Linked DNA regions of Rattus norvegicus. The protein of the gene in region 2 interacts with the protein of the main gene of each other region in a pairwise test. Links are inferred from orthologs where the notes say so. Each region holds a gene or a part of one and is shown on either strand. Other genes may lie near its edges.

Region 1 (2,900 bases), about 40 Mb from region 2:
CAGTGGGGGAGGGGCGGGGCGGGGCAGCAGGGAAGGGTACCAGCCTGCCCCGATACAGCCCATGCAAGGGAAAGTTCCCCTCAAATCAGCCTTGCCTGACACCTAGATGTCACGCCCCAGGGTTGTGTGTGGTGAGGGTGGGGCGCACGCCCAGGAAGAACTGTAACTCTCCTCCCCCGAGAGCTGCATGCTCCCTTTGGAGTGAAGTCCCCCTCATGCTGGAAGCTTCCACTAGGCAGGAGGTCCAGTTGTCCGAAGGATGCATGCCAACCTTGCAAAGCCGAGGTTGAAATAAGGATTGCCAAGAGGGTGGGAGGGTCGGTATGGTGGAGGTGACTTGCCTTGCCTCTGAGGCCACTAGGATCGTCCCTGTTCATCCTTGACTATAACAAAATTCTGTCCCCTGCACTGTGGGGGCTTCTCCAAGACAGGGGCCCACCAAAACTGAATCCACAGTGGGTGTTTTGGGGTCCCTGTTTGCTCAGCTGCCTGTCTCCCATAGACTACCTGTGCTCCCCTGAGGAAAATATCTACAAGATTGACTTCGTCAGGTTCAAGATCCGGGACATGGACTCAGGGACTGTTCTTTTTGAAATCAAGAAGCCCCCTGTTTCCGGTGAGTGGGATTGGAGCACCATTGAGAGGAAAAGGTGGGCAAGCACAGTGGAGCGGGCTGTCTAGGTTCTTTGAGCCACAGAGCACAGTCCAGACTTGAACTTCAGCACACTCAGGTGTCTGTGGGCAGACAGGCCTCTTCTTTTTTCTGCCACTGTTTCTCAGGGTGGACATATTGGGAGCATTGCCCTGTTTAAGTACTGGTCAGCCTGTCCTCTGCTGGCCTCCCTAGGAACTGCAGCCCCTAAGTCCTCCCATAATCCTATGCACACCCTATGGCTCTGGGAACCCCTGAACACTGGTGACTTGTTGATCTAGAACCCTGTAGGTACCACTCTTCAACAAAAGTGTACCAGAATCTCCTGAAGAGTTTAGAAACGTTTGAACAGAGGTCCTTGGGGGAGGGTGGAGTAGGCAAAGGCCCCAGCCTGAAGCCCACTGAGCCCAGCTGGGGTACATTACAGAACGGTTGCCCATCAACCGGCGGGACCTGGACCCCAATGCAGGGCGCTTTGTTCGATACCAGTTCACACCTGCCTTCCTCCGCCTAAGGCAGGTGGGAGCCACGTGAGTCACTGGGCTGGGGTGAGGGCTGGGGGGCGAGTGTGAGGGTGGGAACAGCCCCCTTCCAGAGCCTCTCGGTGGCAGTCTGCCTGGAGCCTTGGAGCCTGGAGTCCCTTGGCTGGCTGGCTGGATGGTTGGTGTGGAAGCTACTCAGCTTTGCCCGCTTCTCTTAACTCAGGGTGGAGTTCACAGTGGGAGACAAGCCGGTCAACAACTTCCGCATGATTGAGAGGCACTACTTTCGAAACCAGCTCCTCAAAAGCTTCGACTTCCACTTTGGCTTCTGCATTCCCAGCAGCAAGAACACCTGTGAGCACATCTATGACTTCCCGCCTCTCTCCGAGGAGCTAAGTGAGTGGAGATGTGGAGAACCCAGGCTCAGTGTCGGGAGGTGGGGGGTGGTACCTGTGCATCTGGTCCCCGTGCACCTACCCTGCATCACTTTCTTACCTGGCGCCACTCCTGTGTCACCAGGAGGGAAACAGGCTCAAAGAGGCTGAGGAACTCTCTGAAGTGGTTCATCTGTCCCTGCCTCCCTCTCTCCCAGTTCTAAAGTCCCAAAGGGTCTGGCTCAGGGTCCTGACCTTTGCCCTGGGTGGACCTCTCTTGCAGTCAGTGAGATGATTCGTCATCCGTATGAGACACAGTCTGACAGCTTCTACTTCGTGGATGATCGGCTGGTGATGCACAACAAGGCAGACTATTCCTACAGCGGGACCCCCTGACCTCCAACACTGCCCCTGAGGCTCTGGCCTGGACCCTGTGCTGTGACCTCTCCAACACTGTCTCTATTTGGGGATGGTTCCAGTGGCTCTGGACCCTGAGTCAGTCTTGAGAGGAAGGTTCCCCAGCATCCCTAGGCAAGCCTCTGAAGCTTGTGGGAGGGACAGCTCGGGAGACTGTCCCCATGTTCAGGAAGGCCTCCTGCAAGAGGAGGACTTCCGGATGCCTCACTAGGTCCACTGGGCCTGAGTTTCAGAGTAGTGTTCCCTTCTTGACTGTGACTAGATCAGGTTAGGGATCCGTTCCCTGTCCCTTGCCCACCACCTCCAGGGTGTTTATAGTTCACAGACAAAGATCCACATTGGGTACCCTGGTCTCAGTCCTGGCCTCCTCCATCAGGGGCCAAGAAACTGCCCGAGGTGTGAGCGGGGTGGGTCCAGATTGCAACCTGTAGGACCTGGACAAACTGTATATAGTTTTCAATAAACCTTTTCTGTTCTTGGGTGTGGCCAGCCTGTGTGTCTATAGGGAAAGGCAGGGGTGGAGTGGAGTAGGAGGGGTTCGTGTTCGTTGCTTTTTATCATGACAAAAGTACACGAGAAAATCAACTTAGAAGAGGTAAGATTTACTTTCAGTTCAGAGGTTTCAGTCCATGGCTGCCACATGGCCCTGTCACTGGGGACCCTCTGGTGAGGGAGAGCGACATGGTAGGGGAAAAGTGGGCTGGGGCAGAACTGCTCACCTGGGAGCAGAAGCAGAGAGAGAGAGACAGACAGAGTGAGAGAGCACAATATACCAAGAATAAGGTCAGAACAGGATACCCCTTGCAAACATTCGGTCCATCTCCCCCATCTAGGCCCTTACGATCACTCGATATCGCCACTAGCTGGGGACCTAAGCCTTTGAGGGGAGTGTTTATATCCAACCACACTGATCAAGAGAATAAGAACCCTCACTTCCCAGTGCCTTCTGGCCAGGGGGTCTTCCCTGGCCTCAGA
Region 2 (3,500 bases):
AAGAGAGAAGCGTTGGGTTGGGGGCTCACAACCATTATAAGAAGGGAACTAAGAAAGGTTTCAACAAGCAGATAAGCCAAGGTGCAATGTCCAGTAGGAATGGCAGGCCCCGCCCCTTTCCCTGCTCTCTGGGAGTCCAACCTGGGGAAGGAGCTGGCAGGCCCCGGGTCCCCTCAGTTGGCAGAGTTACACTGTAGGATTTGCTGAGGGGCAAAGAGCTTCCTGACAGCCGGGATCTCTATAGGCTGCCCCAGCACTGAGTAGTTCTCTTTGTTGTCTGCAGTCTGGGCTGAAGACTTCTTAAAGTAGCACAGGCGGCAAACAGAGTGGTACTTGTCCGCTCCGCCAATCACCTCCACCTGGTAGGAGAGGCGTATGAGGGAGGACTCAGAAGCCTAAGCCCACCCCACTCCGTGGGCAGAAGCACAAGGAGATACCTCTTTCTCCAGGCCCAGCCTCTTGGTGTAGGAAGCTTCTCGAAAGCACTCCATGCACACAGCGGTGAGCTTCACCACACTCTCGGCCAAGGGCACCAGGTTCAAGATGCTGCCGAAAGCCTACACAGGACAGCAAAAGTGTTAGCCAGGCACTTCCCTCCCTGCCTGTGTTCACGTGTATGCGTGTGGAGGGAGTTCTGCGGAACTGACGCAAGCCTGTGTGCAAGGCAAGTGTGTTACAGCCTGGGCTGCCCCCAGCCCAACGCTTCTCTTTTAAACCCCATGATTCAGCAACATCATACTTTACTGGTCCTGCTTCACTAGAGAGCTGCATGGGGAGACCTTGCATGCTGTCTCCCCTCTCAAGACCGCTGCCATGGGTCAGACATCTTTACCTTCCTCTGGAAGGTTCCGTCCAGCGCCGCCACAATCACTGTCTTGCCTGTATTGGCCATCGTTTCACAGAAATCCACAATGTCAGGGAACTAGGAAAGTTCAGAGAGGATGAAGTGAGCCGTCCTGAGCAAGGGCCTCATGAAGACGGTGAGGGATCCGAGCACACAGGTAAGCCCAGAGCCGGAGATCAGACCGCACTGCCACTCCTGTGAAACATCCCACCTGCATGCCCACTGCTACCCAGGGCTGGCCCACAGAGGCCTCTACATACCAGAGAGGCTGGAACAGCAGTTCTCAACTAGTGGGTCGAGACCCCCCTGGGGTTGAACAGCTTAAACAGTGTGCATGAAGCCCTTGGCTCCACCCCCATCCCCTACCCCCACATCAAATGAGCCAGACAAGGTGTCCAACACAATACCACTACTTTAAAGGTAGAAGGATTAGGAAGTTAAAATAAACCAGGGCTGGAGAGATGGTTCAGGGGTTACAAGCATGGCTTGTTCTTATAGATAACTAGAATTCAATTCCCAGCACCCACAACAGATAGCTTACAAACCATCTGTAACTCCAGATGCAAGGACAGCTAATGTCCTCTTTTGGCATCTGCAGGCACCCACCCTCACATGCACACATGCACTTTTAGCCCCCATGGACAGCTGGAGGGAGGAAGGGAGGGAAGGAGGAGGGGGACTCTTGGTAATGAGATGTACAAGGCGTACGTAAGTAGGTTGGCAGGGATAGCTGCCCTCCGCCTTCCACTGTCTCTCAGGCCAGCCTCCCCCTTCACAGCACGGGTGTAGACCAGGTTAGCCTTGAACTCAGGAGATCTACTTGCCTCTGCCCCTGAAGTTCTAAGATTAAAGGCCTATGCTATGAGCCTGGCGCTTCCATTTCGTTTGAGCTGGGTCTCTTCCTGAATCTGGAGCACAGCTACTGGGCTGGGCTGCCTAGTCAGGGAGCTCCAGGGGCCTGCCTGTCTCTGCCTTCCTCACACTGGGATTATGGACATGTGGCTATACCCAGTGTTGTACACGGGTGCTAGGGACCCAAACTCAGGCACTCATGCCTGCAGAGCCAGGGCCTCCCTCACTGACAGAACTGTCTCCCCATCCCTTCTGTCTCTCACTTTTGATTGGTTACTGCTGTGCAACCCAGGCTGGCCTGGGTTGCAAAGCAATCTCCTGCCTGCCTGGTTCTTGGACCTTTTCTTGAACATATCTCTGCCCTACACCTTAACGTTCTAACCTTTCTCTTCTTCCACGGTCCCTCCCAGTTTTAGTCTTTCAACGGAGGTGAGGTGGAAGCTCCAGATTTATCTCCAGACCTAGAATGCCGCAGCCAAAGGGCAGAAACTTGGAATGGATGCGATTGGTCCCTGGACTCAGCCATTCCCACAATAGTCACAGCATGTGACATGGCTTGCTCTATAAAAACACACGTGTATAATTAGAAGCGTCCAGGCTGGACTGGCATTCATCAGAGTCCTGGCACTGGCTGAACATAATCTCTTGGGTCAACACCAGGCAAGGCAGGCACCCTGGCCGCATGAATAAAGACCCTTCCTCAGTCTCACGTGACCACTGACAAAGCAGGTGCAGTCTATGCCAGAAGCAATCAAACAAGCACCACCCTTCCGCCAAAAGGAGCTCGGTCCCCTCCCGGAGGGCCACTGTTCCACGACTAGTGTTTGCCCCGTGGCAGGCTTTAGAACCCACAATATTGGCTCGCAGGGCATTCCTGGTAGTTTCTGGTTCAAAGACACTTAAGTGGCAAGCCTCCTTTGTCTGGTGTGCTCCTGCTGTGCCCTACATTGAGCCTGTCATTACTGCGTCAAAAAGAAGGGAAACAAAGTTCTTAACGATGCAAGCTTCTAATCTTGCCCAGAAGCTGTGGGCCCTGCTTCTGGTGAATGAACACACGGGAAGCTCTATGTCCTCAGCTCTGGCTCCAGGGACCCTACAGGACCCTCTACCCACTGTCTGAGGACACAGGAAGGAAGGGCAATCTCCTTGTGTTACCACGAGGAGATCCTGAACTTAGTAAGGAACAGGGTCTAGAGTCTGGGGCGGAAGCACACAAGAATTGTGTTGTTTATACAGTGCACACTGAATACTCACTGTAGCCTGTGCGAGGGCCCATGACTACACAATACCAGCACTCAGGGGCCCGAGTTCTAATCTAGCCTGGACCACAAAGCAAGACCCCACCCCAAAACTCCAAGTAGCCACTAAATGAACTCGTTTTCCTTAATCATAAGGTGGGGTGGGGGTGGGGCGCATAGAAATAAATCTCTCCTATAGGTTAGGATGGGGAAGAGGGTTGGGGCGACTGGTAGGCTGGTGCCAGACCTGGGTATGAGTCTATCAAGCAGGAAGAGCTAAGAAAAGAAGGTAGTGGGCTGGAGAGATGGCTCAGCGGCTAAAAGCACTGACTGCCCTTCCAGAGGTCCTGAGTTCAATTCCCAGCAACCACGTGGTGGCTTACAACCATCTGTAACGGGATCTGATGCCCTCTTCTGGTGTGCATGAAGACAGCTATAGTGAATAAATAAACAAATCTTTAAAAAAAAAAAAAGAAAGAAAGAAAGAAAGAAAGAAAAGAAAAGAAGGTAGTGCCTAGGGAGTGCGGCTGGGCCTCTGGGAATACCAGGAGAGCACAGAGTAAGCA
Region 3 (4,271 bases), on a different chromosome or scaffold from region 2:
TTAAACAGGGTCTCATTGTATAACCCTGGCTAACCTAGAACTCACTATGGAGACTAGGCTGGCCTCTTATTCAGAGACCCACCTATCTCTTCCTGAGTTCTGAAATAAAAGGCACCCATCACAACATGTGGCAAAAGGCATTTGTTTTTCTCTAGTTTAGTTTTGTTTAGTTTTTTTTTTTCCTAGTAACTTTGGTTTCATAGACAAAAGATGCCAGGAAGCTTGAAAGCATTAAGGTCTGCCTATCTTCCCTGATGCCTTTAGTATGGGAGGGTCGGGGTGAAAGGGTACTTTATTGAAAAATAAATTCAGAAATAGGAACATGTCACTTTCTCTTAACATATCAAGACCCGAAGTTCTTAAAAAATCTTTTCTGTTCAGCAGTTAGGGGAATGAGGAAACCTTTTCTAATTCCTTTATTGTGAGACAAGTTTCATGTAGTACTACTTGTTGTGTAACCAAAGGTGACCTTAAAGTTCCCATCCTCCTGCTTGTATTTTCCAAGTGCTAAGATTACATTTGTGTGTCACTAAGACTGGTAAGTAATTCCATTTTTAAATAACCATGTAAACCTTCAAATTGTCTACCTTATCAGTGGCCTGGATTTAAACAGTGGAGCATACAAGAATATTTCATAATATTCCACACCTAATTAAACTACAATTCCTTCTACCCATTAAACAGTATGATCCCAATTCTCAAATAGTCACTTTGGAATAACTGCAGGAATCTAGAGAATTCAGAGCTGGTCTCTGGAAATTTAAAAAAGAGTTTCAAAACGTTTATACAGGGGATTTAATGCTCAGAGACTCAAGAAATTGAATACATGACAATAAGATACAATTTAACTGAGGTATGAGTGTGGGAATGGAGAAAATGGTTAATCGTTAAGGTAGAGGCAAAACTAAAGGAACTAAAAAGCAAAAGACTAAGAGTTCTAGCCAGGAAATGGATATAAAGGTTCTCAACAATTTATGGCAACTACTAAATGCCTGCCCATGTCTACTGAATCAAACTGCTAAGGAAGACATTATTACATTGGCTTGCAAAAGCATTTCTACAAGTGCAGACAATTAAAGCCTGACACCGGAAATATTTCATTTCGTGTAGGCAGTGAAAGAAGTTTCTCTTTTGATTCCTCCTTTGATCCGGAAGAAGACACATCAACCTTCGTTGTCAATTGGACTACGTCATAAGGGCGGGGCCACAGCGATCCATTCGCCTCGGTCCCGGTTTGTGACGCAGTACCTAAGTGCATAGGCTTGCTGGCTCTAGGGGCTCATTTTAGTGGGCGCGGTCTCTGACCAGGCCCTGTTCAGGGCGGGTCCATCGATGCCACGCCCCCACGTCCGCTCTGACTGGCTGTGATCGGTCACGTAGCCAGAGACTTGGCCGGAAAACAGTGAGCTTTCCTGAGGTGGGAGGGTATGGTCGCGGTCTTGCGTCTTCCGGCTTCTACAGCCACTTCCCACGGAAGCCGGGGGAGCCACCCTCTTGTCTATCTTCGGCCATACACTTGTGTTCGCTCCCGTCAGTGCCTGCGGCTCCACACTCGCGCTCTGATTCGCGCCTACTTGGGGACCCTGTCCCCACGCTACTCACTACCCTGTCCCCTCCCACCCATCTAAAATGTCTAATAGACTCCAGACCGTCTTTCTGAAAACCGCAGAAGAAAAGTCAGGCTCGCACTGGTAAGTACCAGTTCCCAGCCCTTCACGCGCCCGCCCACGCCCTGTGACTTAGGTTGTCAAGGCCGAGTCAGCTGTTGTCCAGCCGCGCAGCAGGACCTTGCGGCCGGGCCGTCGGATCTCAGCAGCCTCACAGCACAAATCCCACCCAACCCCGCGCGCTCCAAAGCCCCTGGCTCTCTGCCCTCCCCAAATGTAAAACAATCCTCGGTTACGACGCAGTTCGCTTCTTCTGGATTCAGGCGTGCCCGACGCCTTCCGCTCGAATTTCATAGGTGGACCAAGTAGACACCCACGGAAAAAACCAACATGGCGATGCTCCAAGATCTCAAACACGCCCATAAAACCTATGGTGGATTGTAATGCAGGTGCAGTCCCGGGGCGCTGGCCCTTCACCTGAAAATAGTCGCATTTTAATGTACTTGGAAAATGTGTTCTAGAACAAGGGACTTTAGTATTTGAAATTTTCAAATAAGGCAGAGAAAAGTAAAAACTTGAAATGTGAAGTCAGTTTTTCTAGGTAGCCCATTTGAAATGTGTCTAAAGGGAGTGCTTCTCCTTGGTTGTCTCTACGAAGAAACAGTTGAAACACTGTATGGCTCTGGCTGGGTAGGAAACTCATATATAGCCAAGGCTGTCCACAATCCAGCCTCAGTTTACCTAGTATTAGGCTTATGAAGGGCTGTGACAGTCTTCTTTGGTTAGAAAATGTTTCACCAGTAACATTTTTCTTTTAATTTTGTGTTAATCCAGATGAAATAAAAGCAAGAACCACAAAATATTCATTAAGGAACAATGTTTTAATTTATGCTTCCCAAAGTTAATGAGTATATTTGTTCAGAAGCAAAGATATGAAAACTAAGCAAAACTAATGAAAGGGAATTATGGTTGAAACAAGAAAATCTACCTGGTGTTTATTGCAACTTTGTTACTATACATGAGACTAATGCTTCATTTTTTGATAAAAAATAACGGTTCCTGGGACTATTTTAATAACAACCAGGAAAAGAAATAGTTTAAGAAAGGATTATTTAAATATTTGCTCCAAGTTTAAGAACGCGAATTTGTGTACTGATTTTAGCCCAGGTAAGTTTATTTTAGTTACAAATATATACAAACCATAATTGCAGTGAAAAAAAATGATTTTTTTTAAAAATACATTTTCCCTTAAAACCCTAGTCTAACAAAAACAAATGATCACCTGCATCAGCCTTCCAAGTAGCTGGATGTACAGGAAGTTGCTGCTGTGCGAGTACCAAAAAGAAAAAAAAAAAAAAAAAAAAAGAAAGAAAAGCAAACATCATTAACGGTAAATAGGGAGACAGCTCTTTGGTAGTATGTATTTTGTGAAGATTTAAAGATAGATTGAATCCTATCCAGAGAAGCGGAAGTAGAAGAAATGCTTTGTAGTAAATAATTTTGTATATTTATGATATATTATAGATGACATAACTTACAGATCGTATTCTATTCCAACCCTAGAAGTAACTAATGTATCACTTTAAGTGATACATTGAGGTTTTTTATTGTGCCCTTGGGTTCTCTTTTAAACACTTTCTAACAATTTTGACTAATTTAGAACTTTGAAAAATATTTTAAATTGAGCTATGTTTTGGGTACTTTCATAAGTAATTTGAACGTTATTGATTCATTAGTTTATGTTTGGTGACTTGTTATACTTTCATGCTTTTATTTTTTAAATTTTCTGGTATTATCATAACAAATTTGGAGCATTTAACACAAGATAGTTTCCTAGGATATTTGACACTTTGATTACTGCTTACATGTTTGATTATTCTTTGTTTTAATAACACCATGCCTACTGTTGAAATGTAATTATGTAAATAATTTATTTAATATCACTGTTTTGTTTTATTGGAAGTTTTTTTGTTTTCTATTTTAATCACTCATTTATTTTCTTTCTAAAAATGATAGGACTTCTTTTCTGTAAATATTTCAGCTTTCCTTGAATTCTTTTCTTTTTTTCAATTTTTTCTCCCCTCCCCCCCTCCTTGAATTCTTTTAAAGAAAAATCAGTATTGTGATAAAGAACGTTTATTATTTAATTTATATGGTTTAATCAGGCATAAAAATAGGAAACTCCGTTTTATAAGAGCAGTGCAAATATCTGTATATTTGTAGTGTTGTTCATTTAATGTATTAAGATTTGCATTGAATTCTTATTTATTCAGTGTGTACCACAGGCAGCATAATAGCTATATTAAGGTTGCTTCAGTCCACTAACCATTTCATCTATTGGAGATTGATTGCTCAGAAAATTTTTGAATAGAATTGACAAGATTATGTGTATAGTTTGAATAACTAATGACAGTGCTGATTTAGAATGAGGATTGTATTTCAGATAACTTGAGAAGTCTGAGGGGCTGTACAAGATAGCAGAGAATAGGGATTAGATTTAATAGCAATGGGATGAAAACTATGCATGCCTGATTGGGAAATTACCATTTGTTGGGAAGATGTTATGCCAGTTTTCTTGTCAATATTTGTGAATTAAATGAGACAAACCCAAATGTCCAGTTAAAATTATTGCTCTCAGCATGTGGCTTCGTTCGGGTGGGAAGA
Region 4 (4,152 bases), on a different chromosome or scaffold from region 2:
TGAAACTGGAGTTATTGTCAGTGTGGGTATTGAACCTGAGTCTGCTGAGAGAGCAGCCAGTGCTTTTACCCACGGAGCTTTCTCCTAGTGGTTAGCCGGGAACTCTTGGTCTCGCTGCCTCAGGTCCTCTGGGATTACAGGTGCACATCAGCATTCCACTTTAGGCTCTTTTAATAACATGTCTCCATCTCACCCCAATCACACCCACAGAGATGCACACACGCAAACAGAAAGACGGCAAATGCGGGCAGGTTCCCACAAGACCGTCAGCTCGAAGGCCATATAGATGCACACACACACACACACACACACACACACACACACACACACACACGGGCGCGCGCGCGCGCGCACGCAGCTAGGCTGCCTCAGTTGGCCCGGAAAATAGAATATTTTACACACACTTAAGACAAAACAGTGGGGGCTGGGGATTTAGCTCAGTGGTAGAGCGCTTACCTAGGAAGCGTAAGGCCCTGGGTTCGGTCCCCAGCTCCAAAAAAAAAAAAAAAAAAGACAAAACAGTGACCCCCTTTAGGCAGAAGACTTAAGGTGGTCCTCAGAGTGGGCGAGAACGGGGACTCCACACAGTGGTCCTTAGGTGCTGGGTTTTCGAAGGTTATACTATCCAGCCCCTGGCCTGAGTCATCTTTAAAGAAAGGGTTCTAGGGCTTTGGTCATGGATTTTTGGAGGGAGTATTTAAAGGTCCAGACACCTAGCAAACAGGACAGGAAGGCTGAATTCCTAGGTCTGAGGAAGCAAGGGTGGGAGACAGCCTCTGGTGCTGAGACTGAAGAGGCCTGGAAGGGAGTCGGCCTTACTTAACTACAATGTTTCTTCTTTTGAGACCTGGTTGCCTGTAGGCAGGCTAGCCTCAAACTCCTATCCTCAGGTCCTCTCCTCTCAAATGCCCGGATTACAGGTATTCCTGTCACACTCCCTATGTTCTTGACTGGGGAAATTATGGAGGCCTGTATTCCTGGGGCCTCAAGAGAGGAATTTATGGAGGACCTCTGCCCCCATGGGTTCTGGCGTCCTTGAAGGACAAAGCTGATGATGGTGTCTGAGTTTGCCAGAAGAGAAGGCTAAGGGTGAAAGTCCAAAAAACGGCTACGCCCAGGACTGAGCCTAGTGACTCGGCCTTCACGAGGACAGTGACACCTGGAATCTGGAGGGGCTGGGACTTGGCGCAGGCTCCCTCCCGGGGTTCCCGAGCTTCTCAGTGCGCAGAGCCGCCACGCTATTGTCCTGGCTGGGAAGGCGGGGCCGGCGCGGGGCGGGGCTGGCGGCGCCGGCGCAGCCCGGGGGCGGCGGGAGGAGGAGGAGGCGGCGGCGGCGGTGGCGCTGGGAGCTCCTGTCACCGCTGGGGCCGGGCAGGGCCGGGCGGGAGCGCAGGGGACCTGAGGGCCCGAGGCCCGGACATGGGGCCCTCCAGCCCCACCACTCGCGGTCAGGGTCGCCGCCGGGGCCCGCCGCCGCTGCCGCTGTTGCTACCACTGTCGCTGCTGCTTCTGCGCGCGCAGCTCGCCGTCGGGAACCTGGCTGGTGGGAGCCCCAGCGCGGCCGAGGTGAGGCCCGGCCGGGTCCTGGGGATGGGGAAGGGGCGGGACCGGGCCTCTGGACCTGGACGCGGGACGGCCACCGCAGTCCTTTTGGCCAGGTGGCCTGCCCCACGCGATCCGAACTGTAGATATTCCTAGGTTCCTCCATCGTCTGACGTCCCTGCCCCCTCCCACCCGCATCGTCGGACCTGGCTCTTTCCAAGAGCCCCGGGTCATAGAAATCCAGAGCACCCCTAGACGACAAAGCCCCAAGCCCTGCCCACCTAAGCGTAGGACCCACCAGGCAGCAGGCACTTGGATCTAAAAACCCAGATCCCTTGTATCCTCTGTATCCACATGAACCCCCTGCCCTCAAACATCCAGGACTCCAGGTCTCCACCCACTACTCAATCCGGATATAGCTCCCCTAGTCCTAAAGGTCTGATGTGCAGGCCTGCTAGGAAGCTGGGCCCTGTCATCTTTACACCCCCTCAGTGGGAACCTGAACTGGGGATGGAGGGAGGAGGGGCCAGAACGCCTGGGTTCGCCCTCCGCCCCCAACACGATTCAAGTTTAACCCCTTCAGGCTCCAGACCCAAGCCGCTGGGGCGGGGGCGGAGCCTGTCTTCTCAGCCACAAGGCCGCGAGAAACGGGGGCGGGGGGGGGAAATCCTGGTCACCATAGCAACGGGAGAGCTGGGGCGCTTCAGCCCCATGGGATCTGTTTCCCGGGGAACAATCTCTTTACCCAGGAGGTGCTTAGAAGGATCTGGTTCTAGAGACGATAGGGGCACGAGTCCTAACTGGATTTTAGGGAGCAAAGGACCAGACAACCCAGATGACAACGTTCCCTGGCCCCTCACTGCCCCATCTGCCTCCATTCCCAGGCTCCGGGGTCGGCTCAAGTGGCTGGACTATGTGGGCGTCTCACCCTTCACCGAGACCTGCGCACCGGCCGCTGGGAACCAGACCCACAGCGATCACGACGCTGTCTTCTGGACCCGCAGCGCGTGCTGGAGTACTGCAGACAGGTGGGCGGGACCCCGTGGGGAGAGGCGTGGTCAGTGGGAAAGTGGGTTCAAGCTGGGGCGGGGTCGCCCTTCAGGAAGCTGGATTTGGCGAAAGACAGAGCCTAGGGAGATGAGAGGATCTGGAAAGCCAGGGAAAGCTTGGGGTCTGTGGCCAGCGAAGAGGCTAGGAGGGGCTAGCGCAGAACCTATTTTGAGAAATTAGGGGCGCCGGGGGTGGGGGGGAGGAGACTGCAAAAAAACCGTCGACTAATCAAGATTTGCCTGAAGAGTGGCAGGGTTTAGGAATCTGTGGAGCCATTTAGAAAAAGTGGGAGTGTAAGTGGGCGTGGCCGAAAGAGAGGCAGGGCTTAGATCAAAAGATCTTTAAACCAACAAGATTCAGTAGGTTTTGGAGCCGGGTGAGAGTGGCTGCCTGCCTAAGAGAGGTGAAATGAAAAGGCGGGGCTAATACAAAGAGAACAGTTACTTAGAAGCTAGTCAGAGAAAGGCAGGGTAGGAAAGAGACCGAGATACATTGAGAAAGAAACCTGATTGCAGAGCAAGGTCGCCCTGAAACGTGAGCTCAGAGAAGTTGAGCTTGGCATGAACAGGCGTGCGGGGGGAGGGGCCGGGGGGGACCTTTAGAAGGATCACAAATTAAAGACCCATATAAGCCACAGAACGAGTTCAAGACCAGTTTAGGAAACATTAAGGAGACTCATAATAAAGGAGTCTCATAATAAAAAGTAAAAAGAGGGCTGGGCATATAGTTTGGTGGTAGAGCACTTGCTTTGGCGTGTACAAGCCCCTGGGTTCAATCTCCAGTACTGCAAAAGAAGAGATGGAGAAGGCGGAGGTTAGCCAGTAGGTTGACCGCGCCCCTCGCCCCCCGCCCCCACACTGTGTCCTACAGATGTACCCAGAGCTGCACATAGCTCGTGTGGAGCAGGCTGCACAGGCCATCCCGATGGAGCGCTGGTGTGGGGGTACCCGAAGTGGCAGATGTGCCCACCCCCACCATGAGGTTGTGCCCTTCCATTGCCTGCGTGAGTCACCCGTTGGGGGAGTGGGGTGGGAACTGAGGTGAAGTGGGAGTCTCCTAGAGATGACTCCGGTCTACATTAGAAGTCTGGGCGATGGGTTGAGAAAGCTATGAAATGCCTGGACTCTGAGGAGGGCAGGGCTGGGCTACTAGGATTCTGGTGTCTCCCATTCCCCAGCTGGCGAATTCGTGAGTGAAGCCCTGCTGGTGCCCGAAGGCTGTAGGTTCTTGCACCAGGAGCGAATGGACCAATGTGAGAGTTCAACCAGGAGGCACCAGGAGGCTCAAGAGGTTAGGACTTTGTCCCACCTGTTTCCTAGCCCTAGGACCTTCCTTCCAGAACCCAAGCATTCAAACCGGGATGTAGGGATTCCATGCCTCAGCCACTTAAGAACCCAGCTTCCAGGCTTTCTGTCCATACCTTCCAACCATGTCATTCTGGTCCCCCGGGCCTCCTCTTCCTGCAGGCCTGCAGCTCCCAGGGCCTCATCCTGCACGGTTCTGGTATGCTTTTGCCCTGTGGCTCTGATCGGTTCCGAGGTGTGGAGTATGTATGCTGTC
Region 5 (4,262 bases), on a different chromosome or scaffold from region 2:
ACTGTCTGGGGTTCTCCAAGGTTGGCTGCAGAGCTCTCTGACCCTTTGGTGGAGGTGCTGAAAGGACAGCTCCTAGCCCGGGGAAGCCAACTGAAGGACAGATGCTGGATCAGGCTTCCTACTGTTCCCCAGCAATCCTGATTGCCAGTTTGGACTTGTCTGCCTAGGGGGCTGGCAGCTTGTGAGCCTCCCATCCAGAAAGCACAGCTGAGATTCCTGGGTCCCCAGGGAATCTCATGACCCTCTGCTAGAAAGTCATAAATAAGTGAAGGGGCTGGGACTGACCCCAAGTCTCCATCCTTCTTCCTGGTTAAAGGAGCCCCCCCCCCCGAATCTCCAGATGTTAAGCTCCAGCACAGTTAGAGTTGACTGTATTCAGGATGTGGGAATTGCCCATAGCTGCCTTTGTCTGGGTGCTGCCTGCTGCATGTGTCCATTCCTGAATATCTGTCTCCAAAGGGTTTCTGTTTAAGGGTTCTTCCTACTTCCCTTTTATTTGGTGGGATGTGCAGGGGTTGCCAATCAGCAATTTACAGGCCTGTGTGTGGAGGAGCCTTGTGAAGTTCCTTTTGGTAGCAGTGTGGGAATTCTTCACCCTGAGATGTTGTTGGGACGGGTGTGTGGGTCATCGGTTCAGTTACAAGCATCTGGGAGTGTAATGCTAACATGGCCTCCTTGCTATGGGATAGGGACCTCTGCTCCTGAGTTCTGCAGGCTTCATTCTTGTATCATATCACTTAGAAAGTTAGCGTTTAAAAAAAACCAAACAAACAGGGATTTTATTCTACTCTTAGTCCAGTCCCCAGCACTATCCTAGTGCCAGATCCTATTAGGCAATCAGTGTAGTAGCATCAAGTGAGCCAATGGGGAGTTGGATGTGTCTGTCTCTGACTGTGCATCTAAGTTCATTTAATTTTTGTACGACTTTGATGATGCGTGGGGTTGCCTGACAGAATCTCTGGTGTACGCGGGCTCGTGTGTGAGCGTGAGCTTGTGTGTGTGTGTGTGTGTGTGTGTGTGTGTGTGTGTGATCTATGGAGTGCCTGCTGTCTGGAGGGAGCGCGGAGGTACCTGATTTGGAGATGTACCATGTACAGACAGGCTGATGTCTGTGCAACTATCCCTTGCGAGGTGAAGCTTCACCGTGTGTACACGCGTGCGTGCATATGTGTGTATGTGTGGTGTGCACTGGCGCACGGCCCCCACCCCGTCTCTGCCCGCGCCCTGCGCTCCTTCTGGAGGCGGAGAGCCGGGTGCGTGGAGGGCACTGCGGCTCGGCTGCCCGCCCTCCGCGCTGCGGCTACCGCACGTCACCATTCTCCCCGCCCCGGCCGCCGTCCCCGCCTCCGTGGTCCTTTGTAGCTGGCAGTGGCGCTGGCCTTGGTCACCGTAGGCTCCGCCCCGCCCCGCCCCGGCCCCGCCCCTTGCGGGCCACGCCCCGGCCCTTCCTCCCTCCCTCTTTGCCCGACCGCAGTCGCGCTTGGGCCGCCGCGGGCCCGCACCGAGGCGCTCAGCGCGGAGCCAGCGGTAGCGAGAGCTGACCGCCGGAGACGGGGATGGCGGAGCGGCGGCGAGCATGGAACACGGAGGACGACCTGCCGGTGTACCTGGCGCGGCCAGGCAGCGCGGCGCAGACCCCGCGCCAGAAGTACGGCGGCATGTTCGCCGCCGTGGAGGGAGCCTACGAGAACAAGACCATCGACTTCGACGCCTACAGCGTGGGCCGCCGCGGCTCCGCGCGCACACCACGCAGCGCTGGCCGGCCCGACGCCGTGGGCCTGCCGTGCCCTGGCGGCAGTGAGGACACGGCCAGCGATGTGAGCGAGCCCTCGGGCTCTGCTGTCAGCTCGCCAGGCGATCGCGATGACAGACCGCCGGCGTTGCGCATCCGATGTCCTGCGCCCCGCGACCTACCACTCGGCCGGGACAATGGCCAGGTACCCTAGGGGCACGTGGGCCAGACGTGGGGGGGCGGGGCCCTTGGAGACCCAGTGCTTGGGTGGCGCGAGGGCGCGTGTGGGGACCCGCTGCCACCAGGTTCTGGGGGACTGCAACGGCCCCTCCCCCACTTCATCCTGCAAGAGGTTCAGAGAGGTTTAGGATAGGCCAGGGTTGGCCAGCAGAGCCTCAGAAGGCCAAAGCCAGGTTCTGAGAAGGGAAGTAAGTTGCGGCAGCTGCCGCTGCCGCTAAGGGACCTGTAAAATGAATTTAAGCCTCGTTCTCTTTCCGGGGTTCTGTGAATAGGGGGGGCATTCTCTGTCTTCCTCCATCTATCTATTCGCTCACTCACTGATTGTGGAACGCTTAGGCTGTAACCCGCTCAGAGAGAGGTTCACGGAATGACTCTGTTCATATAGATGCTCCCGCCCCTCCCTGCGGGACGATGTGGTTAAGGATTTAGAAGGTGGGCAGTAAGAAATCGCTCAGGACACTCCTCTCCTGGATGTATACGCTGGAGGCGAATCTGGGATTTGAACCCAGGCATATGGACTCCCTGACTTCTGAAAGTGAAGAGGGACATCAGGGAAAGACATGGCCAGGGTTTGGGCCTTATAGGTTATCGTCCCTAAGTTGGAATTTACCAGGGAACACGGGTGGTCAGACAGAAGAGTCCTGAACAGGGTGGGTAAGGTCAGAGCCACGTGTCTGGGAAACAGAAGTTGGAACAGCTCTGGGAGCTGTCCCTTGAGTTCTGGACTGGGCTGGCTAGGCAGCCTAACCCCACCCTCCAGAAGTTCCCTGGCTGGGGAGAGCTGTGGACTCATTTCAAGAATTAAGTTCAATCAGGTAGAGAGTGATCAATAAATGCTTGCTATGGAGTTTTATCATCATTCTCGGTTTAATTAATTAATTAATTCGTCCTTTCCATTAACACCATGAGAGGCACAAAGTGAACTCAGAGGGAGGAAGAGTTTGAACAGGACTGTAATCTGGACAGGCGTTTTGGAGGAGAAGAAAATGGGCGGTGTTCTCCAGCTCTGTCCTCCGCTCTGGAACTCTCCGTGGTCCTGAATCTGCCGCCTGGGCGCTGGAGGCGGGGGCGAGGAGCAGGGAACTAGCCAGAGTCCAGTTCCCTATCCCTTTATCTCCTCCTTGGTAGTACGACCTCGCGTGGGAAACAGGCTCTCTAGCTCCACCAAAGGCTTCAGGGCCCAGAAACCCAGCCACTACCTGGAACCTGTCGAGATGTTTCACCTTCTTTAAGCTGTCTTCATCTGTGACCCGGGAGTGGCAGTCTGCTCTCGGCTTCCCTCAAAGGGAATACCACGGAGGCGATTGCTCTTTGTGACTGGCCTGGAGCTGTCCTTCTGGCTTCGCGGCACTGGTCAGGGTCATTCACACAAGCTTTGTCCCCAGCTCTGCTATGGCTGGCCCGGTAGCTGTGCCTTAGTGTTTCTGGACCCTAGTTGCTTCAGCTGCTCCTGTGTTCTTACCACCCGGTTCCCCTCTGTCCTTTCTCCCCGACTTCTTAGGGACCTGACAAAAGGCTGCGTTCGAGGCCTCCCAAAGCACTCTCTGGTGGGGACTTAGAGTAGAAGAGATCACGGCCCCGCTGGATGGAGTAATTTACTTTCTGAAGACCACAGGGCATGGGTTGCAGAGGGCTAGGGATCTAGGACCAGCCTTAACCACTCCTGCAAAGGGTGCCCGGGCCCCTCCCCCGCCCATAAGGCTTTTTCCTGGGAGGGGGGTGGGGTTTCAACAGCGCAGGCGCAACATTTGCGGTTGCCAGAGGCTGGTGGCTGTAAAGCTTTGTACCGGAGAAGTCTGCTTGGGAGCAGCAATCTGTTTGGCCAGTAGCGAGCAGGACTCTTCCTTCTGACTTGCACGTGGCTCAGCCCCTCTCTCTAGCTTGCCTGCCCAGAACCCCCCGACTGACCCCAGGGAATGCCGGGGTACTGGAACCTTTGACTTATTGCCGAGGAAGGGAATCCGGAGACAGAAGTGTGCTGCTATCATCCGCAGCTTCCGGTCATTAATGAGAATTTAGGGGCCAGAGCACAGGCGGGACTTAATGAGTAGAGAACCCGCTTCCTGACGCTGCCCCGCGGCAGTTAATTTACGCTATTTTATCTCTGCAAATGCGCGGTACTTTATCTCTACAAGCTTCAGTGTCCTGTCTGTAAAAGGGGAAAGTCACAGACTAGTGTTTCTGAATATAAACTATTCTCTCGGAGCTTATAATCCCTCTTGGTCTCCTGCGGTGGACTAGGAACTGGCTTTCTCCATGTGGTGGAAGACGAAAGGCCCCAGCGGGGTCC
Region 6 (4,237 bases), on a different chromosome or scaffold from region 2:
CACTCTAAAGTCAGATGCTTTATTAAATCCAATTAAAGAAACACCCAAGTACCCTTCACTTTCCACATTTTATAAGCAAACATGAAAATATGAACTGTTCTAAACTCCAGTGACCACAATATATCCGAGACCTTTAAAGGAGGAATCCATCCATGTGGAAAAGCAAACTGAGCTCAGTTCCTGTCTACCCATAAGCATTTCCAAAGCATCTCACCTAGCTTGTCTTGTAACTGTGAAGAAACAATCCTTACTGCAGAGTGCTAACCACCAACTCACAGGGGGCAGACAAACAGCCCACAAACACCCACCCCTTAACATGTGGTTACCGAGGACAAAGCCGGTACAGTGAAAGCCTACAAACTGATTTCGAAGCTTAAGATTTAGCTATAGCTTACCTGTTTATGCATTTCAATGTTTAATCCATATGACATTTCATAATACTGTAAAGAGAAGAACCAGGCATGCCGTTAACTCACGGTTGTGGGAAGGACACACACCATTACAGAAAGAGAAAAGGTCCTCCTCGCTTTGATACCTACCATCACGTAGTGTCTCTGCATTTCTGTCTTTTCACTTGCCAATTTCTCACACTCCAATTTAAGACTATGAAAACAAAACAGGCAGCTTAAGGTAAACATTATGTCACTTGTTTTAACATCTGCCTCCCATATTTGCACTTCAAGCAAAAACAATTTAGAAAAGTTGTAAGCTGGGCATACTTCCTAAAAGCTGTCTTTGTATTCCATGCTGGAAAAGGTGAACAACGGGGAATATCCACCAACTACTGTCCTTTTTTGTTCGTGGGGCACACGTCCCGTAGAGAGGCCAAGAACGGAAACACAGATCTCTCAGCTGTCCTCCCCTCTCTTGACCGCACCAAAGTCTGTCCTTTGCACAACCCCCATTCTCCAGCAAAGACAGTCTTCAGGTCTGAAAACTTTACTGGTAAGTAAAGTTACTCCTCTCAGTGACTAGTGCCTTTCAAAACCTTTTGAATCCCTGCCAAGACATGACAAGCAGCTACAGCAAACGAAGTGGGTTGAAGTTCTTCTGTCCCTGTTCAGTAAACAGTGTGTGCAAGTATGCCTCAAGTTCTGGAGATACGGTATAAAAGTAGATAAAAGGTCAAAAATCAGAGTCCCTGACTAACTTTAGAAAATTCACACCCAAGCCACCAAGCTTCTCCTTGGTCCTTTTTCTCAAGCATGATAAAAGTAAAAATCTTCGAAGAAACTGCTTTGCGCCAATTAGTCAAAACCTCATAGTAGAAAAATAAGTAGCTTTTCTGGACTATTCACTACAGATGGGGCTTTTAGCTATAATTTCCACTAACCAATCCAAAGAAGAAGGTATGATTACATAAAGAACCCAGAACAGAGGTGAATGTGATTCTAGTTCCCTAGTCTATCCAAACACCCCAGAGTGTGGGCCACGCATAACTACATCTTACCACCTAATCACCCTTGATGGGCACAGCTAAACCCATCTAGCCTTCCCTAATGGACTTTGTCTCAGGCAACCCAATTTTCTAGTATGGCAAACAGCGATTGCAACACGGCTTTGCTTTCCTGAACGCACATTCTAGGACTGAGCCATTGATTGAACCCATGTTTCAGTTCAGCCTGTTGCAAAACAAATAAACGAAGCGCAAATATTGACGGTTCTCATGCAACTCCAAAATACACGAAAAGGGACTCCCTGGAACTGCCACAAATGCGCAAAGGGGAAACAATGGGAGGAGGAGGAGACAACAGAAGGGACGGCCCAGGAAGAGCGACGAAAGGGGGGTAATGTGAATGACAGGACTTAACTGTGACTCCACACGCCACCGCCTGGACACAAGCCCTAAGTACAACAGCCCTAGCAGCCTGGCCTGTGTGAGAAGAGACCCCCCAAGTGACCACCACCCGAGCAGGTCGACACGCACCTGTGATACTGCGCCTGCAGGAACTGGAATTCCTCTTTAATCCGGTCCAGGGACTCCGGGATAGTGAACTTAAAGGGCTGGCCTGCAGCCTGGTGCGGCGTCTGCAGGTGACCAGCAAGGGTAACCAAGGGAGGAGATATGAGGATGAGGGCATAAAGCAGAAAAGTCAGAAGAGGGAGAAGCAGATGGGACATAAACAAAAAATAAATAAATAAATAAATAAATAAATAAATAAATAAATAAAGTTAGAGGTGGTGGAAAACGGAGGCCCAAACTCGAGCCCTCGGTTCACTTTAGTGAGGGAGAAAGCAGATCTTCCTGGGACCCTGATTTCTCAGGAGGTTCAGAAATAAGTCTGCCTCCAGTGTGGACAGTGTGTGCCCAGTGCTCTGGGGTCACCCGGCCCGGAGGAGGCTGAGAAGGACCAAGTCAGAGCTCCACTGTCCCGGCTGCCCCTCCCCAACCGGTGCGAGAAAGACCCAGGATCTGGAGATGAAATGCCAACTCCCTCTCGGCCCCTAGTCCCGGAGTGACCGGGCCGCACTGACTACAAGTAAACAGGCAAGACGAGGGCAAAGCAGGGATCACTCCTGCCTCGGGATAAGCGGGCAGTGACTACGCGACGCCCGTCCGCCCGTCTGCCCGTCTAGACATCCAGTAGGAGGGGGGGCGGGCAAGGGAAAATGGGGCTTCCTGGGCTCCCGCGCGGGGCAAGGTCCCACCCGCGCCGACGACTCACTGGGTGCCGGCTCTGAGGGAACATCGCTCTGGCAGCAGCCGCGGCTCTGTTCCGGGATAGCTCTATCCTCCGCGCCACTTCCAACTTGAATTCCACCGAGGAACGCGAAGCAGCGCAGCAGGCCGGCGCACGGGGCGCTCGGGATGCAAGGCCAGGGCGCGACGGGTGCGGCCCCCGCCCTCAGGGCCACATTGCGGGCGGCTCGGCCCCGCGCCTGGGAGTCTGAGCAGCGGGGGCGCCCGGACCTACCGCGGCCCTCCACCCGGTGCCCGGGGTGCGCTCCCTTCGGTGGCTCACGGATGCAGGGGGGCTGTGTGTCTCCTCCCTGCGTCGGCGGCTGTGCAGGTGGCGCCTTGGCTAAAACCCACGTAGACAGCCAGAGGCGAGCGCCGCTTCTCGGGTCGGGAGGTCACCCGCTCCCACGACGGTGTGCTCCGGGTTACCCCCGGCTCGTCGACCGGCGTTGCAGAGTCTCCGGCGCGGCTTGAAGCTGCGGAGCCCAAGCAGGGTCCAGGCAGGGTCACGCCAGTATGCGCTCTTCCTCCAGTCCACGGCTACTGCTCGCGGTGCAGCTCTTTGGCCGCCCGCCGCGCCCCTGCCCCGGGCATCAGGCCGCCGGGCGCTTTACCCGGCTCTAACACTCCTAGAGCCTGCCTTCCCCTCCTCGGCTCTAAGCAAAGGGCTGACCAGCTCCAGCCGGCGCAAAGTTCTCTCACGACCCGGAGGCAAACGTCCGCGCGACGGAGAGCACGCTGCCGCTCTGCCTCCCTCCACAGAGGGCCACGTCGAAGGCGAGTCCCGGCTCCTGCCCCGGGACGCGGGGTCCCCGCCGCTGCTCCTGCCGCCGCCCGCGCCTCTTGCGCCGCTTACATTAACACGCGGTTTCACACTCGCTAGCAAACCAGCACCCCGCCCGAGCAGTGTGGCGGGGGCTGCAAGCACCCAGGCGGCCACGGACGTGGGCGGAGCCGCAGCCGCTCGGCCAACCACGTGCGCCGCTCCAACGTGGGTTACTGACGCATGCCGGCCACAGCCTGTGTTGGCCTTCGCTCCGCCCACCTCGCGCGGCCTCTGTGCCTTGTTTCCCCGCCCACCCGCCGGTGCCCCTCCTCCGCCAGCGCGTCCTGTGCGCTCTGAGTGCCGCGGCGCCCGAGGAGCTGCGGGGCACCCACGCCAGCCAATGGGGAGCGGCTAGACGCCGAGATTGGCAAGCCGCTTCCGAAGGTCGGTGGGAAGGAGAGCGGCGGGCCGGGCTGTCAATCAAAGTAACGTGGGGCGAGTTAGGGAGCGCGCCAGTGCGCGCGAGCCGAGCGACCTGCGCGCGGCAGGCAAGAAAAAGCAGGGGGCTGAAGTTTGCAGAAGCCTGCGGCTCGCTCTGCTTTTCCTTGAAGAAAATCTCAGTGAAAGTACCAGAGACTAACTGCGGGGTTTCTTGTTGGGGGAGGGATGCGTCTTGCTAACAAGAACAGAATGCGGTTTTCCGGTATTGGTTCCTTTTGTGCTACTCCGAAGGTGAGATTCCATTCACAACTTTATCGGAGGCTTATTTTTCCGCGAGCTGCTGTTCCACG
Region 7 (3,500 bases), about 65 Mb from region 2:
AGATGCGTTCCTTCTTAGTTCTCCCAAGCCATGGCATTTCCCAGCAGATTCCTGTTGGGGGTTTGCTGCTTTGCCTGGCTGTGTCTTCTTATTAGCCTTAGCTCTCAGGCTTCCACGGGAGAATCCCAGGCTGGAGCCAGTGAAAATTTGGAGTCTGAGGCAGACCCCTGGTCCTTGCTGTTGCCTGTAGATGGGACTGACAGGTCTGGCCTCTTGCCCCCCCTCTTCAAGGTTCTCTCTGATAGGCGAGGTGAGACCCCTAAGCTGCAGCCTGACTCCAGAGCTCTCTACTACATGAAAAAGCTCTATAAGACGTATGCTACCAAAGAGGGGGTTCCTAAACCCAGCAGAAGTCACCTCTACAATACCGTCCGGCTCTTCAGCCCCTGTGCCCAGCAGGAGCAGGCTCCCAGCAACCAGATGACAGGTGGGTCGGAGGAGATTGTTCAACTGGGCTGGGGGACAAGACGGGCTTTACTGCTGCTATAACTATAAGGAGCCACACCTTGATTTGGGTTTGGTGGTTTGTTTTGAGGCAAGATCTTCCCCTGTTACCCAGCTCCTCCTGCCTCAGCTCCCTGAATACTGGAATCGCACAGGTTTTCACTGTTGCTTGAATTTTATTTTACATGATTCTCAGTATCCGACTGAAACAAACCTTTTAAGTTAGCACTTTTTAAAAAGCTTTAAAAAATTTTTTTTTGGTGTGGTTGTACTAAGGATTAAATTGGTGGTGGTAATGGGGCTCACATATGTTAGCTAAACCTTCTGCTACGACATCCCTGGCCAATAGCATTGGTTACACTGTTTGTTTCCTAAACCATCTTTAGTTAAGAAACTAATATGGTAGATCTGTCTTGTTCGAGTTTCCTTTAAAGTTTTATTGTCTTAGACAGTCTCAAACTTGCAGTGACTCTCCTGCTTCAGCCACTCTAGTGCTGTGGGATTACAGGCACACGGCAGCACAGCAGCTCAGTGTGTGAAGGTTAAAAGAGACTAATGCGGGGCTGGGGATTTAGCTCAGTGGTAGAGCGCTTGCCTAGGAAGCGCAAGGTCCTGGGTTCGATCCCCAGCTCCGGGGAAAAAAAAAAAAAAAAGAGAGACTAATGTCTTGAAAGGCCAAAGAAAGTTCTGGAGGTAGCTAGTATCTTTCATTCTACCAAGCTGTTGGCTGATGGTGCCCTAAAACTTGCCTTTGTGGTGGGTGATATGGGACATTTCCCCTTGTTTCCCTGGAAGAGGAAAGTTTCAGTCTCCTCTGCACAGTGCATCTTCTTTAAAAAAAAAAAACATCGGCTGGCTGAGATGTGGTACCATTTATGTCCTAGATACTAGGTGCCTAGAGTTTGACCTCCAGAACCAACAAGACAAAACTCACCTGGGGTGCGGTGACTCATGACTTTAATTCTAGCCCTCAGGAGACAGGAACAGGCTAATCTCTTTGAGTTCAGGGCCAGCTGGGTCTACAGAGTGAGTTCCAGGATAGCTAGGGCTACACAGACCTCTCTCAATAAGCAAGCAAGCAAAATCCCAAACCTCCAAGCATTAGTCAGCAACGGGGGACCTGTTTAGTAAGAAGAAGAGTTGTGCTTTTAAAAACCAAAACCAGCAAACACCCGGGGCTTTGGAGGTAACTCAGTGGATGAAGGCTTCTTCAGCAAGCCTGACAAGAACCAGCTCCTACAAGCTGTCTTTCAACCTCCATATGTGCTCCACACTCCCCATGCCCCAATACAGACACACACACACACTGGCCACCAGTTCATGAAAACCATAACTGTCCAGGGCAGTTGTGGCTGTTGAAAGCTGCCCTCCCCACCCTTGCCCGTTTCACTGTAGCAGCCTCATACCCTCCATTTGTTTCCAATCTCGACAGTCAAATGTTTCCAACCTCGACAGTCAAATGTTTCCAAGTGACTTGTTTCATTCGGGTCTAGACTGCCTCGATAGTGTTGCTTTCCTGGTCTCCTGCCTGTGTGTGTAGGAATGACTCCACAGGGAGATACTCTGCTCCACTGTCTGTGTTTGGGTCTGAAACCGGAGGGTGTAATGATTGTCTTTGGTTTCACAAACCTGTTCTCACCTTTTTCTGAGATGAAAATTGTTTGCATGTGTGAGTTAGGGATGAGGATCATGAGTAGAAAGGCCAGAGAAAAGTTTTTTTTGTTTTTTTGTTTTTTTTTTTTTGGTTCTTTTTTTCGGAGCTGGGGACCGAACCCAGGGCCTTGCGCTTCCTAGGCAAGTGCACTACCACTGAGCTAAATCCCCAACCCCTGAGAAAAGTTTTCAGAAGTTGGTTCTCTTCTTTTACCATGTAGGTCCAAACTCAAGTCCTCAAGCTTAGTGGCAATTGTCCTTCCCCACTGAGCTCCACCCACCAGCCCACATTCTCGAATAGCCTGGCTGGTCTTGAACTCAGTCCATAGCCAAAGGGGCCATTGACCTTCTGGTCTTCTTGCCTCTATTTTCCAAGACCTGACTCACCCTGTGTGGATTTGGGAGGAGATTTTTGAAAGGTGTGTGTATGGGGATGGGGGATATGTCTCATGTAACCAACTCAGACTGCCCTCAAACTCACTGTATAGCCAAAGATGGCATTTACCTCCCAAGTACTGGCTTTGTGGGTGTGGGTTACCAGACCCAGGTGTGTGTGTGCGTGAGTGTGATGAAGGACTCTCATTATGTAGCCGAGGCTGGTGGCAATCCTTCTGTCAGCCTCCAAAGTGACAGTGTTACAAAAACAGACCTCTGTCCACCCGAAAGCATGGCTCCAGGCCCTTGTGCCTACCAGGCAAATGCTCTGCCACTGACTTATACCCCAGACCCTCCACAGTTTCCCTATCAGCTCCCTTCTTCCCTTTGTTTCTGAGGCTTAGGGGAGGGAAGGGAAGGGAAACTGCCTATGGTCAAGTACTAATTCCTCAGTCTCACTTCCTGCTTTCTCCAGTTCGTTTGCAAACATTACTTACTGGTGGCTTCTCTTCTCAGGACCCCTGCCAATGGTGGACCTGCTATTTAACCTGGACCGGGTGACTGCCATGGAACACTTACTCAAATCGGTCTTGCTATACACTCTGAACAACTCCGCTGCTTCCTCCTCCACTGTGACCTGTGTGTGTGACCTTGTGGTAAAGGAGCCCATGTCTTCCAGCAAGGCTACCCCAAGAGCGCCATACTCATTTACCCTGAGGAAACACAGGTGGATTGAGATGGATGTGACCTCCCTCCTTCAGCCCCTGGTGGCCTCAAGCGAGAGGAGCATTCACCTATCTGTCAATTTTACATGCACAAGAGACCAGGCCCCAGAGAATGGAACGTTTAATATGCCTCTCTCAGTGCCGCCCTCGCTCATCTTGTATCTCAATGACACGAGTACCCAGGCCTACCATTCCTGGCAGTCCCTTCAGTCCACCCAGAGGCATTCACAGCATCCCGGCCAGGGCAGTGTGACTACCCGTCCTGTGGAAGAGGAGGCTACTGAGGTAGAAAGATCTCCTCGG

What was found.
Region 1: the proteins of Tk1 (region 2) and Unc119 interact in a two-hybrid assay, tested with the Homo sapiens proteins (2 studies listed by BioGRID and IntAct). The link is inferred for Rattus norvegicus from reciprocal best matches to the Homo sapiens genes TK1 and UNC119.
Region 3: the proteins of Tk1 (region 2) and Lrif1 interact in a two-hybrid assay, tested with the Homo sapiens proteins (2 studies listed by BioGRID and IntAct). The link is inferred for Rattus norvegicus from reciprocal best matches to the Homo sapiens genes TK1 and LRIF1.
Region 4: the proteins of Tk1 (region 2) and Aplp1 interact in a two-hybrid assay, tested with the Homo sapiens proteins (2 studies listed by BioGRID and IntAct). The link is inferred for Rattus norvegicus from reciprocal best matches to the Homo sapiens genes TK1 and APLP1.
Region 5: the proteins of Tk1 (region 2) and Crmp1 interact in a two-hybrid assay, tested with the Homo sapiens proteins (2 studies listed by BioGRID and IntAct). The link is inferred for Rattus norvegicus from reciprocal best matches to the Homo sapiens genes TK1 and CRMP1.
Region 6: the proteins of Tk1 (region 2) and Tle1 interact in a two-hybrid assay, tested with the Homo sapiens proteins (2 studies listed by BioGRID and IntAct). The link is inferred for Rattus norvegicus from reciprocal best matches to the Homo sapiens genes TK1 and TLE1.
Region 7: the proteins of Tk1 (region 2) and Gdf9 interact in a two-hybrid assay, tested with the Homo sapiens proteins (2 studies listed by BioGRID and IntAct). The link is inferred for Rattus norvegicus from reciprocal best matches to the Homo sapiens genes TK1 and GDF9.

The regions. Positions count from the first base shown.
Region 1 is NC_086028.1:63,738,999-63,741,898, forward strand, and holds the end of Unc119 (protein unc-119 homolog A), read left to right. Parts: intron 1-502; coding exon 503-616; intron 617-1,079; coding exon 1,080-1,182; intron 1,183-1,357; coding exon 1,358-1,530; intron 1,531-1,791; coding exon 1,792-1,904; 3' UTR 1,905-2,400; downstream 2,401-2,900. UniProt on the Homo sapiens protein: Involved in synaptic functions in photoreceptor cells, the signal transduction in immune cells as a Src family kinase activator, endosome recycling, the uptake of bacteria and endocytosis, protein trafficking in sensory neurons and as lipid-binding chaperone with specificity for a diverse subset of myristoylated proteins.
Region 2 is NC_086028.1:103,534,778-103,538,277, forward strand, and holds part of Tk1 (thymidine kinase, cytosolic), read right to left. Parts: intron 923-3,500; coding exon 833-922; intron 558-832; coding exon 438-557; intron 360-437; coding exon 174-359; 3' UTR 1-173. UniProt on the Homo sapiens protein: Cell-cycle-regulated enzyme of importance in nucleotide metabolism. Catalyzes the first enzymatic step in the salvage pathway converting thymidine into thymidine monophosphate.
Region 3 is NC_086020.1:196,994,222-196,998,492, forward strand, and holds the start of Lrif1 (ligand-dependent nuclear receptor-interacting factor 1), read left to right. Parts: upstream 1-1,471; 5' UTR 1,472-1,629; coding exon 1,630-1,691; intron 1,692-4,271. UniProt on the Homo sapiens protein: Together with SMCHD1, involved in chromosome X inactivation in females by promoting the compaction of heterochromatin.
Region 4 is NC_086019.1:94,831,811-94,835,962, reverse strand, and holds the start of Aplp1 (amyloid beta precursor like protein 1 isoform 1 precursor), read left to right. Parts: upstream 1-1,352; 5' UTR 1,353-1,419; coding exon 1,420-1,566; intron 1,567-2,426; coding exon 2,427-2,570; intron 2,571-3,462; coding exon 3,463-3,595; intron 3,596-3,769; coding exon 3,770-3,882; intron 3,883-4,058; coding exon 4,059-4,152. UniProt on the Homo sapiens protein: May play a role in postsynaptic function. The C-terminal gamma-secretase processed fragment, ALID1, activates transcription activation through APBB1 (Fe65) binding. Couples to JIP signal transduction through C-terminal binding.
Region 5 is NC_086032.1:77,778,117-77,782,378, reverse strand, and holds the start of Crmp1 (dihydropyrimidinase-related protein 1), read left to right. Parts: upstream 1-1,462; 5' UTR 1,463-1,556; coding exon 1,557-1,937; intron 1,938-4,262.
Region 6 is NC_086023.1:90,978,129-90,982,365, forward strand, and holds the start of Tle1 (transducin-like enhancer protein 1), read right to left. Parts: upstream 2,801-4,237; 5' UTR 2,691-2,800; coding exon 2,667-2,690; intron 2,029-2,666; coding exon 1,928-2,028; intron 610-1,927; exon of another isoform or gene 604-609; coding exon 540-603; intron 441-539; coding exon 396-440; intron 1-395. UniProt on the Homo sapiens protein: Transcriptional corepressor that binds to a number of transcription factors. Inhibits NF-kappa-B-regulated gene expression. Inhibits the transcriptional activation mediated by FOXA2, and by CTNNB1 and TCF family members in Wnt signaling.
Region 7 is NC_086028.1:38,096,521-38,100,020, forward strand, and holds part of Gdf9 (growth/differentiation factor 9), read left to right. Parts: intron 1-30; coding exon of another isoform or gene 31-294; coding exon 295-427; intron 428-2,988; coding exon 2,989-3,500. UniProt on the Homo sapiens protein: Required for ovarian folliculogenesis. Promotes primordial follicle development. Stimulates granulosa cell proliferation. Promotes cell transition from G0/G1 to S and G2/M phases, through an increase of CCND1 and CCNE1 expression, and RB1 phosphorylation.